Linked DNA regions of Arabidopsis thaliana. The protein of the gene in region 1 interacts with the protein of each later gene in a pairwise test. Each region holds a gene or a part of one and is shown on either strand. Other genes may lie near its edges.

What was found. The genes of interacting proteins can lie anywhere in the genome.
Region 2: the proteins of UTR3 (region 1) and AT1G33080 interact in a protein complementation assay, tested with the Arabidopsis thaliana proteins (one large-scale study listed by BioGRID).
Region 3: the proteins of UTR3 (region 1) and DTX1 interact in a protein complementation assay, tested with the Arabidopsis thaliana proteins (one large-scale study listed by BioGRID).

The regions. Positions count from the first base shown.
Region 1 is NC_003070.9:4,910,575-4,915,039, reverse strand, and holds UTR3 (UDP-galactose transporter 3), read left to right. Parts: upstream 1-1,872; 5' UTR 1,873-2,010; coding exon 2,011-2,114; intron 2,115-2,303; coding exon 2,304-2,401; intron 2,402-2,496; coding exon 2,497-2,627; intron 2,628-2,741; coding exon 2,742-2,772; intron 2,773-2,857; coding exon 2,858-2,961; intron 2,962-3,053; coding exon 3,054-3,175; intron 3,176-3,272; coding exon 3,273-3,678; 3' UTR 3,679-3,947; downstream 3,948-4,465. Other genes in the region: FLP (Duplicated homeodomain-like superfamily protein), read right to left, coding at 4,393-4,465. UniProt on the Arabidopsis thaliana protein: Essential sugar transporter required for the transport of UDP-glucose from the cytoplasm into the Golgi and the endoplasmic reticulum. Essential for pollen development and involved in embryo sac progress.
Region 2 is NC_003070.9:11,984,123-11,991,064, forward strand, and holds AT1G33080 (MATE efflux family protein), read left to right. Parts: upstream 1-1,527; 5' UTR 1,528-1,629; coding exon 1,630-1,902; intron 1,903-3,007; coding exon 3,008-3,549; intron 3,550-4,533; coding exon 4,534-4,620; intron 4,621-4,959; coding exon 4,960-5,016; intron 5,017-5,163; coding exon 5,164-5,402; intron 5,403-5,700; coding exon 5,701-5,819; intron 5,820-5,919; coding exon 5,920-6,006; coding exon of another isoform or gene 6,007-6,075; exon of another isoform or gene 6,076-6,124; coding exon 6,125-6,205; 3' UTR 6,206-6,398; downstream 6,399-6,942. Other genes in the region: AT1G33070 (MADS-box family protein), read left to right, coding at 662-959, 1,053-1,177.
Region 3 is NC_003071.7:1,333,726-1,338,189, reverse strand, and holds DTX1 (MATE efflux family protein), read left to right. Parts: upstream 1-1,639; 5' UTR 1,640-1,709; coding exon 1,710-1,955; intron 1,956-2,043; coding exon 2,044-2,588; intron 2,589-2,679; coding exon 2,680-2,766; intron 2,767-2,847; coding exon 2,848-2,904; intron 2,905-2,996; coding exon 2,997-3,441; intron 3,442-3,525; coding exon 3,526-3,576; 3' UTR 3,577-3,732; coding exon of another isoform or gene 3,733-3,906; 3' UTR 3,907-3,920; downstream 3,921-4,464. Other genes in the region: AT2G04050 (MATE efflux family protein), read left to right, coding at 69-125, 202-646, 754-804; AT2G04039 (DUF2996 family protein), read right to left, coding at 3,733-3,903, 3,988-4,065, 4,207-4,412. UniProt on the Arabidopsis thaliana protein: Efflux carrier for plant-derived alkaloids, antibiotics, heavy metal and other toxic compounds. Involved in cadmium detoxification. Requires probably a proton-motive force for the efflux.

The DNA of each region.
Region 1 (4,465 bases):
CTTTTAAATGTTACAGGGAATTATATTAGATTGTTCAAGTTTTTTTTTTTGGTTAAAGTTAATGGCTCAAGTTATTAGTATTCATGATATTAAATTCATACATGAAACAGCTTATGAATACTTTTTGTTAGTCTGAAATTTAGAATTTAAAAAGAATTAAAAGGAAGTTGTGGTTTTTGTTTGGTGTTTTTTTTAACTAATTATGGTCATGGTTGACGTCTGCTAAGGGACAACAAAGTGGTGGGTCTGGATCGCCCATATCGTTGAAATTTTGATCGATATTTTACAATAATACTTACTATCGTTCAGTCACAATTATTAGCGAGATTCCCCTTCAATCAAGATGTTAAGTGTTTACAACTTTTCTTTGGATGTTATATTTATGTTTAAGAAACTTTTACATACACTTCCAAATTATGAGAGATATCAAAACCTTAGAATAAAATTTGGTATTATGGACGATTTTATCTTTCTGAGACGTATTGGATTTACTATTAGATTATTGTGCATATGGCATGCATGCATTAGATATATATAGTCTTTCTTCGATAAATAAAAGTTTAGTCAATGGATGAATCAATCTTTATGTGTAGATCTTTTGTTGATCAACAGGTGATCAAGATTTAAAGGACCCGAAATTAGTTACGAAGTATTGTGGATTTTTCGCATTCTAGTTGACCAAATGAATAATTAAAGTATGAGATTCAACTCTTAAATAATATTTTTGTAAAATTAAGTTTTGAGTTAAGAGACAACGTTAAACCGTCATAATTTATGTGTGTTATATATATAATCGTCAAACCATGGTAAATAACTAAACGCATAGTAGACAAAAAATTTGTAATCATAGATGTAGACGACGGTAATCATCATTTAGATTTGAATTTTTAATGGAACGTGGTGGCTAACGTCGAATACATTTTTGGTGTATTTCTTAAATATAATATCCCATGCATTGACCCAAGAAACTACTTATTAATCAGTTAATCTATATTCACATTGTTATTGACCGGCAGATCGAAAGAGAGTTCTTTTTTCTTTTGCATATTGCATATCACGTGTGGACAAAAGCCCCATTTGGAATCTTTTATGATATTATATTGTTATGTTACACATTAATTTGTTATCTCACCAAGACTTCTATTTTCATTTTGTATCCGGTAAGAGTCACTCTTTTGAGTTTTGACTTTTGACTCTTCAAAATGTATAATTGGTTCTCCCATGAGGATTAAGTATGTCATATAAATTCCGTTTCCCAATATATATAACTTCTATTTTCATTGAGATATAGTATAATATTATTCGTATAGAAAATTACTCAAATCATAATGAACTATGCATGAGTGCATGCATGTGATACCTTGTTTTAATATAATGGAAATTCGATATTTCAAACTTTTCTCGCTATGTTGACGTTATTGTCACATTTACTTTAAGATATATCATATTTTGTTTTAGTAATCTTAACAATGGGTCATCACTAAATTTTAATCAATTAAATCATGTTGGCAACTTTCCTCCATTTGTGTATATACGCCTTTTTCTTTCATTTTCTTACCACAAGTGATCTTAGATTTGTATGAATTCATCAGTTAGTCAAACTGACATGATTAGCTGTGTGCAAGTTTGCTTAATCAAATTAAGGCCCAAGCTGTAAAAAGAACATCCGTTTACAAGTTCTAGGAAACTGCGTGACGTTTTCATGACAATAAAACGGCACATAGTTCCCATTCCTATCTCAGACATGAATGTGCATATGACTTGGATTCCAGAAATAAATCCACGTCCTATAGCCAATCAGAAGTGTCATGTCAGATTATTAAGCCAATGACACAGTTACACGTGGAAAATCTACGTCTTTCTCGCGCCTCCTACACTCTCTCTAATAACTTTCGTTTCCACTTCAGACCGATCTCATAATTTGATCGCAAAACTGATCAAATAGCGTAAAATTGAAATTCAAATTTTCGCCGGAGCTCCGTCGGATAAAACAATAAGCGACGTGCGGCGATGGAATCTCACGGTTCCGGTCTCCGGCGAGTTCTGTTATTGTCGTTCTGTGTCGCTGGGATCTGGGCAGCTTACATATACCAAGGCATTCTTCAAGAGACCTTGTAAGTAAAACTCGTTAGGGTCGAAATCGATCAATCTTATTTTAGCTCGTTGATTATTTTCTCTCGACATTGCTCGATTCTGTTTGTTCGAGATTGTTTCTATTCTCGGAATCCTGGTTGGTGATGCGTTTGCAATTATTGGAAATTTATAGAAATGTAGCTGATAGAACTCTAACATTTTCGAATTAGGTCGACGAAGAAATTTGGTGAAGATGGGAAGAGATTCGAGCATCTTGCATTTCTGAATTTGGCTCAGAATGTAATCTGCTTGGTTTGGTCTTATATAAGTGAGTAGGGCATCTTCATTGTTTATTCCTTAGAATTATAAGTTTATAACAGACGAATAAATGGAACTGAAGTATTTTTGATTGATTATGAGCAGTGATTAAGCTCTGGTCCAACGGAGGTTCTGGTGGAGCCCCATGGTGGACGTATTGGAGTGCTGGCATTACTAATACCATTGGTCCTGCTATGGGCATTGAAGCTTTAAAGTATATTAGTTACCCAGCTCAGGTAAATTAGGCATTGTTAGTGTAATAAAAACCTCATTTTTCTTGATTATGGTTGATAGTTGAGGTAATAACCTTTCTTGGGAAGTAATATTGATGCAAAACTTGCTTCTTGCAGGTCCTTGCAAAATCTTCCAAAATGATTCCAGGTGAGGTGTCAATTTAGAGCATCAATCCATAATCGCTCTCAACTGCTGCTATGTGTATCTTATATATGTTTTTTCTTTCATGTAGTTATGCTGATGGGCTCCTTAGTTTATGGCATAAGATACACTTTGCCTGAGTATCTTTGCACCTTTCTTGTTGCCGGAGGAGTATCTATGTTTGCCCTTCTTAAGGTAGGCAAATCTGCATTCAGGAACTTTGATCATAATCTTTGTTATACTTTGTCTGTGGAAATGTAGTAAACCGTCTTTGACTTGGTTTACAGACAAGCTCTAAAACCATCAGCAAGCTAGCACATCCCAATGCACCCCTTGGTTACGGGCTTTGCTTCTTAAACCTTGCCTTTGATGGATTCACAAACGCAACCCAGGATTCCATTACCGCAAGGTATGACTCTTGACATTCTGTCAGATACTTAACCCAGTCTGACATCTACAACATGGTCTAGATGTTGGACATTAATCATCGCCATACATGGATACAGGTACCCCAAAACTAACGCATGGGACATAATGCTGGGAATGAATTTATGGGGAACCATATACAACATGGTCTACATGTTTGGATTGCCACATGGGAGCGGATTTGAAGCTGTGCAGTTCTGCAAGCAACACCCTGAGGCAGCATGGGACATTCTTATGTACTGTTTATGCGGTGCAGTAGGCCAAAACTTCATCTTCTTGACAATAAGCAGATTCGGGTCTCTAGCTAACACGACCATAACCACAACCAGGAAGTTTGTAAGCATCGTGGTATCTTCAGTTTTGAGCGGGAATCCGTTATCTTCCAAACAATGGGGATGTGTGTCGATGGTGTTCGGTGGATTGTCTTACCAAATTTACCTGAAATGGAGGAAGCTGCAGAGAATGCAGAAGAAGAAAAAGGCCTGAAGCTGAGATTGGGGATCAAAATATTTAATTCTTCAAGAAAATTGTTTTTGATTTGGAAACTTTTTACTTCCAAATATGTCTGAAAGTTAGAGAGAAGAAAGCTTAGTCCATTAGCAAAATGTAAACTAATGCATTAGAAGAAACTTATATATATCAAACCAAAAGACAAATCATATATTTCCACTCATATATATTTGTCTTAACAATACAACAAACTCTTCCTTCTGAGTTTTTCATTTTTCCTAAAGTTACACTCTGGAAAACTTCTTTATATATATGTGATAGAGATTCTGTACAGAGATGATGAAAACAAATCAAGAAATCTGGGGAAAATGCTCAGATGATGTATCTGAGTAAAGCCCTTAGAGACAAACCAAAGAATTTTTTCTTAAAGACACACTGGTGCCTTCTTTTGTAGATGGCTTCCTTATGTTAAGTAAGAAAAGAAAGAGAAATCTGAATCTGAGTATATGGCAGATTCTTGAGAACATTCTTTGATGGGGCTAGAAAATGTTACCGTTAACATTCTAGGACCAGGAAAGAAACTTAAAAACCTTGAGGGAGGAATGCAGATCATGGCATGCCCGCTTCACAAAAACTTCCAGGCCGATATGGCTGCAAAACCTAATATGAAATCTAAGCAAAAGTGGAAAAAATTACGTCTCCATGGAGACTAAACCGCGGTTTAGGGTATGAGAGAGATGGTTGGTTGGTTTACAAGCTATGGAGAAGGACTCTTTTGCAAGGGGGTGGTTTTGAAGGATTAGCACTTGGACATGGAGATGAG
Region 2 (6,942 bases), 7.1 Mb from region 1:
TAAAAACATAACAAAAATAACATCATTGAAAACCTTTATAAAAAATATATAACTAAATGCTGTGACTACTTTCCTAAGTTTCTCTCAAGTTTTTTTCAAGTTTTGCTCAATTATTTATTTGGTAAATTATATGCAGAAAAACAAAACAATTCCACAACTTTTTCTCAAGGTTTTTTTTTTGTGTGCTCATAATTTATAAATTGAAATTAGAAAGATACATGAAGATTAGGCTTCATCGGAGAAATCCGAGTAACAAGTTCGAAAATTGAAAAGCTTAACCATACATAACTCAAACATAGAGACACGAACTGCAGTAAGCTTGATAGGGGAAGAAGTGTCGAAACTAACTAACACAAGCATGCCCATGAGGAAGGGACGGATAACGAAGAAACTCCATGAGTTGACAACTCTCTGCGAAGTCAAAGCATGTGTGGTAACCTACAGTCCGTACGAGAATCCAGTGGTGTGGTCGTCAACCGAAGGTGTTTAAGAGGCGGTTTTAATGTTTATTAAAAGGCCGGCGATAGAACGGTCCAAGCTGATGATGAGTCATGAGACCTACTTGTAGAACCAAATTACCAAAGAAACAAAGAAACTGGAGCGTCTACGTCTTGAAAACCGAGAAACTCAGCTTACACATTTTATGTTTGATTGTGTTGAGGGTAAGATAAGTGAGCATCAGTATGGTGCAAGGGACCTTCAAGATTTAAGTTTTCATATTGATCACTATATCAATCAGCTTAATTCCAGGGTCAAGATCCTTACAAACAATGGTGAGTCTTCTTCTTCCGTTCCTCCTCTACTTCATACTTCAGTTGCGGGTGCGGGTGCAGCTCCTCTTCCTGTTGCGGGTGCCGATCTTCCGATGGATCAGAATCAGTATGAGCCGATTCAGCTCTATATCCCTATTGGTCTTAGTTATCATATTCAATACCAACATGAAATCTATGATAATTTCAGTTTGGATCCAAATCATTAGTATCCGTTTCAACATGATCCACTCATGAATATGTTGATGGAATATCCTTATCAACAAGTGGGTTATGTTGGAGAGCATGCGCACATCCTTTTCATGAACGGAAACTACTACAACTACCACCAAACACCAACCGTTGGTCTTACTACCACCGGTCACATGCCTTCCAACAACAACACCACCCCCACCACCGATGTGTGATGTGTTTCAATAGTTTGCATTTTTGTTTTGTTCGTTTCAAAAAACCTTAAACTCTTACAACAATTAATTGGATTTGGTTTGGTTATAAAAGATGTGTCTATTCAAACACCAACTTTTGGTAAAATATTTGTAGAGGCCATACCTCGCTGTGATATATATTTCGACTATCTCATCCCATTTTTTGGGTGATTTGTTCAAAACTAGCTATGTCTTTTTCGGTATGCAATGTATAAATGTAAATGTAATTTTGACAAATTTTAAATTTTATTTAAAATTTATTTATGAAAAGTATTCATTTTGCATATAAAATACCAATTTGGCAAATTAAAGAATCTTAAAAAGAGGTGTAGGCCGGCTTTTCATTTCCTCCGTACGTAAATAAACAACCCACCAAACAAAAATCTCTCCTCGCTCCATGCCTTCTCTACTCTCTCTTCATTCTCTCCTAAGCTATGGCGAGAAGAGAAGGAGAAGTGACGGAGACCCTTCTGAAAAAGTCGACGGAGAATCGCGGAGAAGATCGGGATGGGTTAGGGATGAAGGAGAAGGTTTGGAGGGAATCTAAAAAGCTATGGGTTGTGGCTGGGCCGGCGATCTTTACGAGGTTCTCCACGTCCGGACTATCTTTGATAAGTCAAGCTTTCATTGGCCATCTTGGCTCTACCGAGTTGGCCGCTTACTCCATCACTCTCACCGTTCTCCTCCGTTTTAGTAATGGTATCTTGGTGAGTTTACTATAAGTCTATAACGATTAGATCAGTTCTTCCACACACTCTTTACTACAAATTCGTAAAACATAAAAACAATTTTTTTTTGTTTTAATAACTATTAATATATGTTAAGGATTGTTCTGATTAGTTTGAATGATATAAATCGTACTATATAAACGGTGACGTGAATGCTTAGATAGACTTCTTGTGGGAACTTGTTTTGGTTGATTTGTCAACCAATCATAAAAATTCACAACCACTCAACTCTTTGCCTTTATGAAATGAAATTATGCTATTTCTATGTATATAAGATATTGAATGTTTGGAAGGCATTGTTGGTCGTATACTCTTCGTTTATTGTTAGTGTAGTTACCTTTTTCACATAAACAAGTCTCAACTGAAACTCCATGAGTTTTGATTATTACATCAATTATTATTAATGGTTGGAAATGCAACAAAAACATTTCATTGTTAAGTAGAATCAGTGGGTAAATACAAAATAGAATAAAGTTTAGAAAGTTGGAGAATATAACAAACACCTTTAACCAAAAAAAAGTTGGAGAATATATTGATTTTATAAAAAGTGAAAAAAAAATATTGTAAGAAATGACAAAAAAAATAAAGGAATAGTCAGAAGATTAATTTATATTAAGACAATATATTCCCTTTTCTTATTTGTACTCCATAGTGCAACAAAGATAACATTGTCAAGAAGTATAGCGAGTCATTGGCCACAAATGTCCAATGGTCACCTGCCAATGCCATCGTTTTCTTAATGTTTTGGTCTTTAATTAGCATATCATGTGTGAGGTTCGAATTTATAATATGAAATAGTGCTTTTAAAATGTTATTAGACCATTGGACATATATTCAGTTACACCAAAAAAATTCAATACACAATATATGATCTCTTTACCAACAAGAGTTTATAGGTTATATACATTTTTTAGTTATCAACATGCAATATCCAAGTTTAAAGTTTAAATATTATAGTTGTTTATATATAAGCGTTTATCAAACCTACTTAGTTCTTGTTTTATAGGCAAAATATGTAAAATATTTAACCATAAAATAGTTTTTTTTTGGTGTAATAACGAACCGTCAATGAAACAATATGCAGTTAGGCATGGCTAGTGCGCTAGAAACACTATGTGGTCAAGCCTATGGAGCAAAACAATATCATATGCTTGGGATCTACCTCCAAAGATCATGGATCGTCCTCACAGGCTGTACCATTTGCCTTATGCCCATCTACATCTTTGCAGGCCCTATTCTCTTGGCTTTAGGTCAAGAGGAACGCCTTGTTCGTGTGGCTCGGATCATAGCTCTATGGGTCATAGGCATCAACATCTCCTTTGTGCCTTCCTTCACTTGCCAAATGTTCCTCCAAGCTCAGAGTAAGAACAAGATCATCGCCTACGTTGCTGCTGTTTCGTTAGGAGTCCATGTCTTCTTGTCGTGGCTTCTAGTGGTTCATTTTGATTTCGGGATCGCTGGTGCCATGACCTCTTCGCTCGTAGCACATTGGTTGCCTAACATTGCGCAGGTTTTATTTGTCACATGCGGTGGATGTACGGAAACGTGGAGAGGATTCTCTTGGTTGGCTTTCAAGGATCTTTGGCCCGTTTTTAAACTATCTGTATCTTCCGGTGGCATGATTTGGTATGATTTTCTAATCTTCTCACCTGGTAAAAGTATCAACATCCATCAACGACATAAGTATATATTTACTAGTCATACAAATACTTTTGTAGACCATGTGGTTGTAATCATATATATGAAAAGTTGACCAACTCTCTCCAAATGATTAACACATCATCACTTTAGCATTTGCCATGTGTCTACTAAGTAATTAATGTAAGCTCTTCAACTTCTAATTTATAGGTTAATGATATATTTATTATTTAATTTTACATATTTAATTATAGTATTACTAAATTTATTTTAATATTACATGATTTTTCAATAAAACAATTTTAATAGTTTTCTCATACTCGAAGATTTTTTTTTGTAATCCAAACTCAAAATACGATTATATAATAGTCTTAGATTACTTAATGATTTGAGTAAGTTATTCTCTTAAATTGATATTTATATTCTCTTAAATTGATATTTATACAATAAATCACTGAGAGTGAAGAATACGTAAGGAGCTCCATCATCAAATTCTTAGGTTTCTAGAATCCAAAACTACCCTCTGTTAAGTTGGTTTAATACAAACGTTATTTATGAATTATATGTATGATGCATTGTTGAGAATGTTGTTAGAAAAAATATTCTTGAAACTAAAAATAATTGCTTATTGCATGAATAAATAATTAGATAAATAAAAATTATATTTAAACTAAACAATACGAAAAATTCCGAAAAAACCGCGGCGTAGCGCGGGTGATCACCTAATTTATATATAATGCCACGTTGGGTGAAAAGCTGCCAAGTACATTCATTCATTTTCTCAAAGGTTGAGAAATTTTGAATAAATGTTATAGAGAAAAATTTCGTGTTTATGTATTTGTATAATAATATTATTACTATAATAGTATTAATATTATTGTTATAATATTACTATGATTAATATATATATATATACACATATATTATGATAATATATAATAGCACTTGCTTGGTGATATTAATTTTTGGCAGCTTGGAGCTATGGTACAACTCGATCTTGATTCTGCTCACGGGAAACTTGAAAAACGCTGAGGTTGCTCTTAACGCACTTGCAATCTGGTAAAGTATTTTTATCAGTTTTATGTCTTTTGTCTTTGAAGCTATATTCATACGATCGATTTGTACATTATCTTTAGATCATTCGTCTGAATGCTACTGACATTTTACCATTTTTGACTTCATACGGAACACTACTGACGAACATTGTTCGTAGGAAAACAGAAAGAATTGGTTTTATTGTCTACATAACAATATACATTGATGCTAGAGAAAATGATAGGTTTAGGTTACCAATTGTACTTATACTCTCTAGCTAATTGGTAGCCGCGGAATAGCATAATGCTTTTGCGATTGATCATAGGCACTTAGATTCAATATTATATGTTATAATTTTCGCAGCATCAATATAAATGCACTGGAGATGATGGTAGCCTTCGGCTTCATGGCAGCAGCAAGGTGCGTATATATTGTATATACTAGATATATTTGATTATATTCTTCTTGATTAAGTCATTCTAAATATTTGATTACACATGCTTTATTTAAATATCTTATAATCATCTTCATATTTTTATTTTATTTTGTAATAATGTTTTGTAATAGTGTAAGAGTTTCAAACGAGATCGGGAGTGGGAATTCTAATGGAGCCAAATTTGCAACAATGGTTGTGGTTTCGACATCACTTTCGATAGGAATCATCTTCTTCTTTATCTTCCTGTTTTTAAGAGAAAGGGTTTCATACATTTTTACAACAAGTGAAGCTGTTGCCACACAAGTAGCCGATCTTTCTCCACTCTTGGCCTTCTCCATTCTCTTGAACAGTATTCAACCAGTTCTCTCTGGTATGTATCTTGCCTTTTCGATACTCCTATATTGTTTACCATATATAAGACATTAATTCATCGAACGTTGTAGGGATTCATTTTTCAATGATCACTCTATATTCATGCATTGACTGAATATGTGAAATTGGTTATTATAGGTTTTTACGTAGAAAGGGTTTTGTGTGATATATATCCACTATCCAGTCACTTTCACGTATAATGAGTTACCAATTTATCATTATATGATGAATACGTGACGAATGAGTTTGTTTATAACCCTAGACAACATGTTGAACTTATTTATAAATGGGTACAGGAGTTGCTGTTGGAGCGGGATGGCAGAAATATGTTACGGTCGTTAACCTTGCTTGCTATTACCTTGTTGGAATTCCTTCCGGTCTTTTTCTTGGCTATGTCGTTGGTTTACAAGTCAAAGTAAGTCTCAATTTTTATTATTAATATTTTCTTTTTAGTTTTTTAATTTAATTTTGTATATACAAATATAAAATAGTTTTTTTTTAAATATAAAATTTAGGGTGTTTGGTTAGGAATGATTTTCGGAATCTTCGTTCAGACTTGCGTGCTTACAGTAATGACTATGAGAACAGACTGGGATCAACAGGTTTGCAAATCGAATATTATTGGATTTTTAGTAGAAAATTATAAGTATTTTTTTTTGGTTATAATATAAGAACTGACTTGTATATATACATTACTCCTTATTGTTATAAATAATGCAGGTGTCTTCGTCGTTGAAACGTTTGAACCGTTGGGTTGAACCAGAATCCCCAAGTCGAAACCAAACTTTACAAAACGAATGATGGTGAAGATTGAAGTAAAACTTGAGTTTGTATTCGAATTTTGAATTTCTACTTCACCCTCGAATGTACACACTTGCGTAAAATGTAAATGTGAAACAAGTGGTAACGAATTTGGACCACTAAAGTATCAGTCCTTAACTCAGTGATCATTTTCACCTACTAAACTAGGAATCTTTAAGAGCTTTCAAGTGGCAAACCAATTATCGCACATTCTTAGAGAAAAAAATTTGAGAGGAAAAAACGGTAAACAAATACTGATATAGATCAAAGAAGAAAGAAATAGCACTACAACAAAAATCTAGTGTAACTATTATAAAGCTGTCGTAACAAATCAAAGCCATTTTGTTTTGTTAGCATTTTGTTTCGAATTTTTCTTGGCTATGCTATAGATTTGCAGATAAAGGTAGAATTATTTTTTCATTATTATGATTTTTCAAAACAAAATATACGTTGTTTTCTTATTTTAACATTTCTTCTACCGAATTTTTATTCACCAAATTTTTTTATGTAGTATAAAATTTAAAACTATTTTTCTTTCAATGTCAAAATCTATACTATTAATTGGGAAGTATTGTAAATAAACAACCTTATGAAGGGTAGAATATTACATAGAATGCCATTGATTGTTAGTGTTTTTAAATAAATTCATTAAGGATACAATAGTAATCACAAAATTAATAGATTTAAATTAAAAATTGTAATATTTTTTAAAGTAATTATTAGTTTCCCAAAATTAA
Region 3 (4,464 bases), on another chromosome or scaffold:
AACGACTTCTTTTTATTTTTATTATCCTCTTTACTAAAAACTAATGAATCTTATTTCTTTAATGCAAGTCTTACAACAGCAAGTTTGCACTATGTGATTCCAGGTGGAGTCGCGGCGGCTGTGAGGTATGAACTCAAATTTTTAACCAAACATATTCAACATCTTCTTCCTAAACAATAATAGTCATTTGGTTTCTTGCAGCACACGCGTGTCAAACAAATTGGGAGCTGGGATTCCTCAAGTTGCTAGGGTTTCAGTATTGGCAGGGCTTTGTCTCTGGCTTGTAGAGTCAGCTTTCTTTAGCACACTTCTCTTCACATGCCGAAACATTATAGGCTACGCATTCAGCAACAGCAAAGAAGTTGTGGACTATGTGGCTAACCTAACTCCTTTGCTCTGCCTCTCCTTTATCCTCGACGGTTTCACAGCAGTTCTGAATGGGGTTGCAAGGGGAAGTGGTTGGCAACACATTGGAGCTTTGAACAACGTGGTAGCTTATTATCTTGTAGGAGCTCCTGTTGGAGTATACTTAGCTTTCAATCGTGAGTTGAACGGAAAAGGACTTTGGTGTGGTGTTGTGGTCGGATCCGCTGTGCAAGCCATAATATTGGCTTTTGTCACAGCTTCCATAAATTGGAAGGAACAGGTAAAACACTTAGAATAGAAGATTCGTCATTTTAGCATGTTATACTTGTACATTCTTTTTTGTTCTTTCTTTAATACTATGAAGTAATTTTAATCTATGATTTGCAGGCTGAGAAGGCTAGGAAGAGAATGGTCTCTAGTGAAAATAGATTGGCTTAAACTAAGGATGTTTCTGAGAGCTATCTCAAACTATTTTTGTAGGTGTTGAGCAAATTTTTATGTATGGTATATTAATGTGTTAAAAAATGTTCTTACAAAATAATTTATATGTATGATTTTTTCTCAGCCTATCTTTTTCACTATGTTGTGTAACTTGTAAGTGTATAATCATCATTTATCCATAAACATGCTTTTCTTAATTTTTTCACATGTCATTCCCAATAAATTTATTTTATGGTATTTGTGACTATAACCACAATCTTCTACCAATAAATCTTAGTGAACCCTTTCCGAGAGAGCTTTTAGGCTCATAATACAATACTATTCAGATTTTGAAACTCGGACCTTCACGACAAATCTCTGACGAAACTTTGGATTCTACTTGAGAGCGGCTGTCACTTTTAGTTTCAACCACAAATGATTTACTAAAACCTGTGTAAAATCAGATCCAAATGTCTTTAAAGTGGTCTAAAGAATCAAAACTTAAGGTAAGCAAATTACTTAAATTAGAGTCAAACTTTAGGACTATATAAAAATATAAAAATCCACAAAAGTAATTAATACAAGATTGAATGTTCAAACTCTACAAAACAAAATAATTCATATTAGTCTTCAGTCTTCACATATGTTCTTATGTAAATAATTAAAAAGTATTAACACTAATGACATGTCATTTTTAATATGTATATTCTATATATCTATTTTTATAATATAGTATATTCGTGTGCCACTAGTATCTATATTTTCAAACAAGTCAAAACGAATTTGCTTCTTTACTCATCATATCTACTTCGTCACCACGTTTGTAGTTCAAGTTGCCTTTGTTGTTTATTGACTTAGTCGGTCTATAAAGATAGGATAAATATCATCTTAAAATCAAAGGGAAAGGCCTTCAACGTTAAACAATGGAGGAGCCATTTCTTCTGAGAGACGAGCTTCTAGTCCCTTCTCAAGTCACATGGCATACAAATCCATTAACCGTCGAGCTAAAGAGAGTGAGCCGCTTGGCCGCTCCTATGGCCACTGTGACCATTGCTCAGTACTTATTGCCTGTCATCTCGGTCATGGTCGCTGGCCACAACGGCGAGCTCCAGCTCTCCGGTGTCGCTCTTGCAAACTCCTTCACAAACGTCACCGGTTTTAGCATTATGGTAATTATGCTATGACTCTAACCTTTTCAACTCAAGAATCAAATGGACTCTCTCAAGTATTGAAAACACTTCAATTATTTTTGTGCAGTGTGGATTAGTGGGTGCACTTGAAACTCTTTGTGGCCAAGCTTATGGAGCCAAACAATATGAAAAAATCGGAACTTACGCATACTCTGCTATTGCTTCCAACATACCAATTTGTTTCCTCATATCAATTCTCTGGCTTTACATCGAAAAGATCTTGATTTCTCTCGGACAAGACCCTGAAATTTCAAGAATCGCTGGCTCCTACGCCTTTTGGCTTATACCGGCTTTATTTGGCCAAGCGATTGTCATACCACTGTCCCGGTTTCTGCTAACACAAGGGTTGGTTATTCCTCTGCTCTTCACTGCCGTGACCACCCTTTTGTTCCACGTTTTGGTTTGTTGGACTTTGGTTTTCTTGTTTGGTCTGGGATGTAATGGACCTGCCATGGCTACAAGTGTGTCTTTCTGGTTTTACGCTGTGATACTCTCATGTTATGTGAGATTCTCCAGCTCTTGCGAGAAGACTCGCGGATTTGTATCCCGAGATTTTGTGTCTTCTATCAAGCAGTTCTTCCAATACGGAATCCCATCAGCTGCAATGATTTGGTAAGTCATTTTAAGTTGTTTGTCCGTCAAGTTACATACCCTAATGCTCTTCTTCTTATCCCGCTTGCATTTTCTCGGTCTTCTTTAATAGTCTAGAATGGTGGCTATTTGAGATACTCATACTCTGCTCAGGTCTTCTCCCTAACCCGAAACTCGAGACCTCTGTTCTTTCAATTTGGTAAGTACCATAGAAGGACTTCTTTTTATCTTTTGTGGTCTCTTTACTAAAAACTAATGAATCCTGTTTCCTTCTTTTCAGTCTTACAATAGAAACTTTGCACTATGTGATTTCAGCTGGAGTCGCCGCGGCTGTGAGGTATGAATATGATCTCAGTTTTATCATTCAGAACATCTTCATCTTATTATAGACAATTCTTTCCTAAACATTTAGTGATTGGTTTCTTGCAGCACACGTGTATCAAACAATTTGGGAGCTGGGAATCCTCAAGTTGCTAGGGTTTCAGTATTAGCAGGGCTTTGTCTCTGGATAGTAGAGTCAGCTTTCTTTAGCATACTTCTATTCACCTGCAGGAACATCATAGGATACGCATTCAGCAACAGCAAAGAAGTTTTGGACTATGTAGCTGACCTAACTCCTTTGCTCTGCCTCTCCTTTATCCTCGACGGCTTCACAGCAGTTCTAAATGGAGTTGCTAGGGGAAGTGGTTGGCAACACATTGGAGCTTGGAACAATACTGTTTCTTATTATCTTGTAGGAGCTCCTGTTGGAATTTACTTAGCTTTCAGTCGTGAGTTGAACGGAAAAGGACTGTGGTGCGGTGTTGTGGTTGGATCTACTGTGCAAGCCACTATACTGGCTATTGTCACAGCTTCCATAAATTGGAAGGAACAGGTAAATAGCCATTTCAGCTTTTTACACTTGTAAATTCTTTTATGTTCATTCATTAATGCTATGAAGTAATCTATGATTTTGCAGGCTGAGAAGGCAAGGAAGAGAATTGTCTCAACTGAAAACAGATTGGCTTAAACAAATGATGTTTCTCATAGTTATCTCAAACTATTTGTATGCCTTATGCAAATTTTTTTTGAAAGATGTTTATAAAAGAGGGTCATTTGTTTTCTTAATCAATTTTATGACAAGGATTTATAAGTTTTCTTCAATTTTGGTATACAAATGTAATAATTACAAGTGAACAAAAACCTCATTGGTTCCAAACGGGGATGATCCCTTGTGCAGCAAGACGCTTCTCGACCCAAAACACAACGTGGTTCGCAGTTGGTTTCCTCTCGTCGACAAGAAATGGTTCCACGGTGCTCGGACCTGACCCGTGTGAGGAAATTGAAAATCCTTTTGCTCCTGTTTTAAGCAACAAACCAAAAGACATAATGTTCCATTGAAATTTTCTGTAACAAGAGTCTCAAGTAAAAGATTCAATACTTCACCTGTAAGGTTTCCAGTAGGGAAAAAGGCCCAAAAGGAATATGGAATACTTTTCTTTAAGAAAAAACCTTCCAACTGACACAAATAATGATAATTGTCTTAGAAGTTTAATCAAGAAGACATTTTGAGAACATCCAATAAAACTGGAGCCATATAGGGTAGAGAGATGGCCCCATAAGCATGGCAACAAAGCATTAGAAGTTAGAAGCAAGAAACCTTATCGTCTTGGAAAGATAAATCTATGTCAGAGATATCATCTTGAGATTCAAGAATGGCTTGTAAAGGAGGAATCACGTCTTCTTCCATCATTTGTCTCAGCGGTTTCGCCACTGCAGCCGCTTTAGCTGCGGGTTTAGGTTTCTTTGCCGGAACCGCCACTGTTGACTCTTCTCCTTCTTCTTTGTTTTTCTTTTCAGTAGCAACTAGGAAGAGAACAAGAAAGTTACTCTTCTCGAATTTTTGAGCCAAACATTC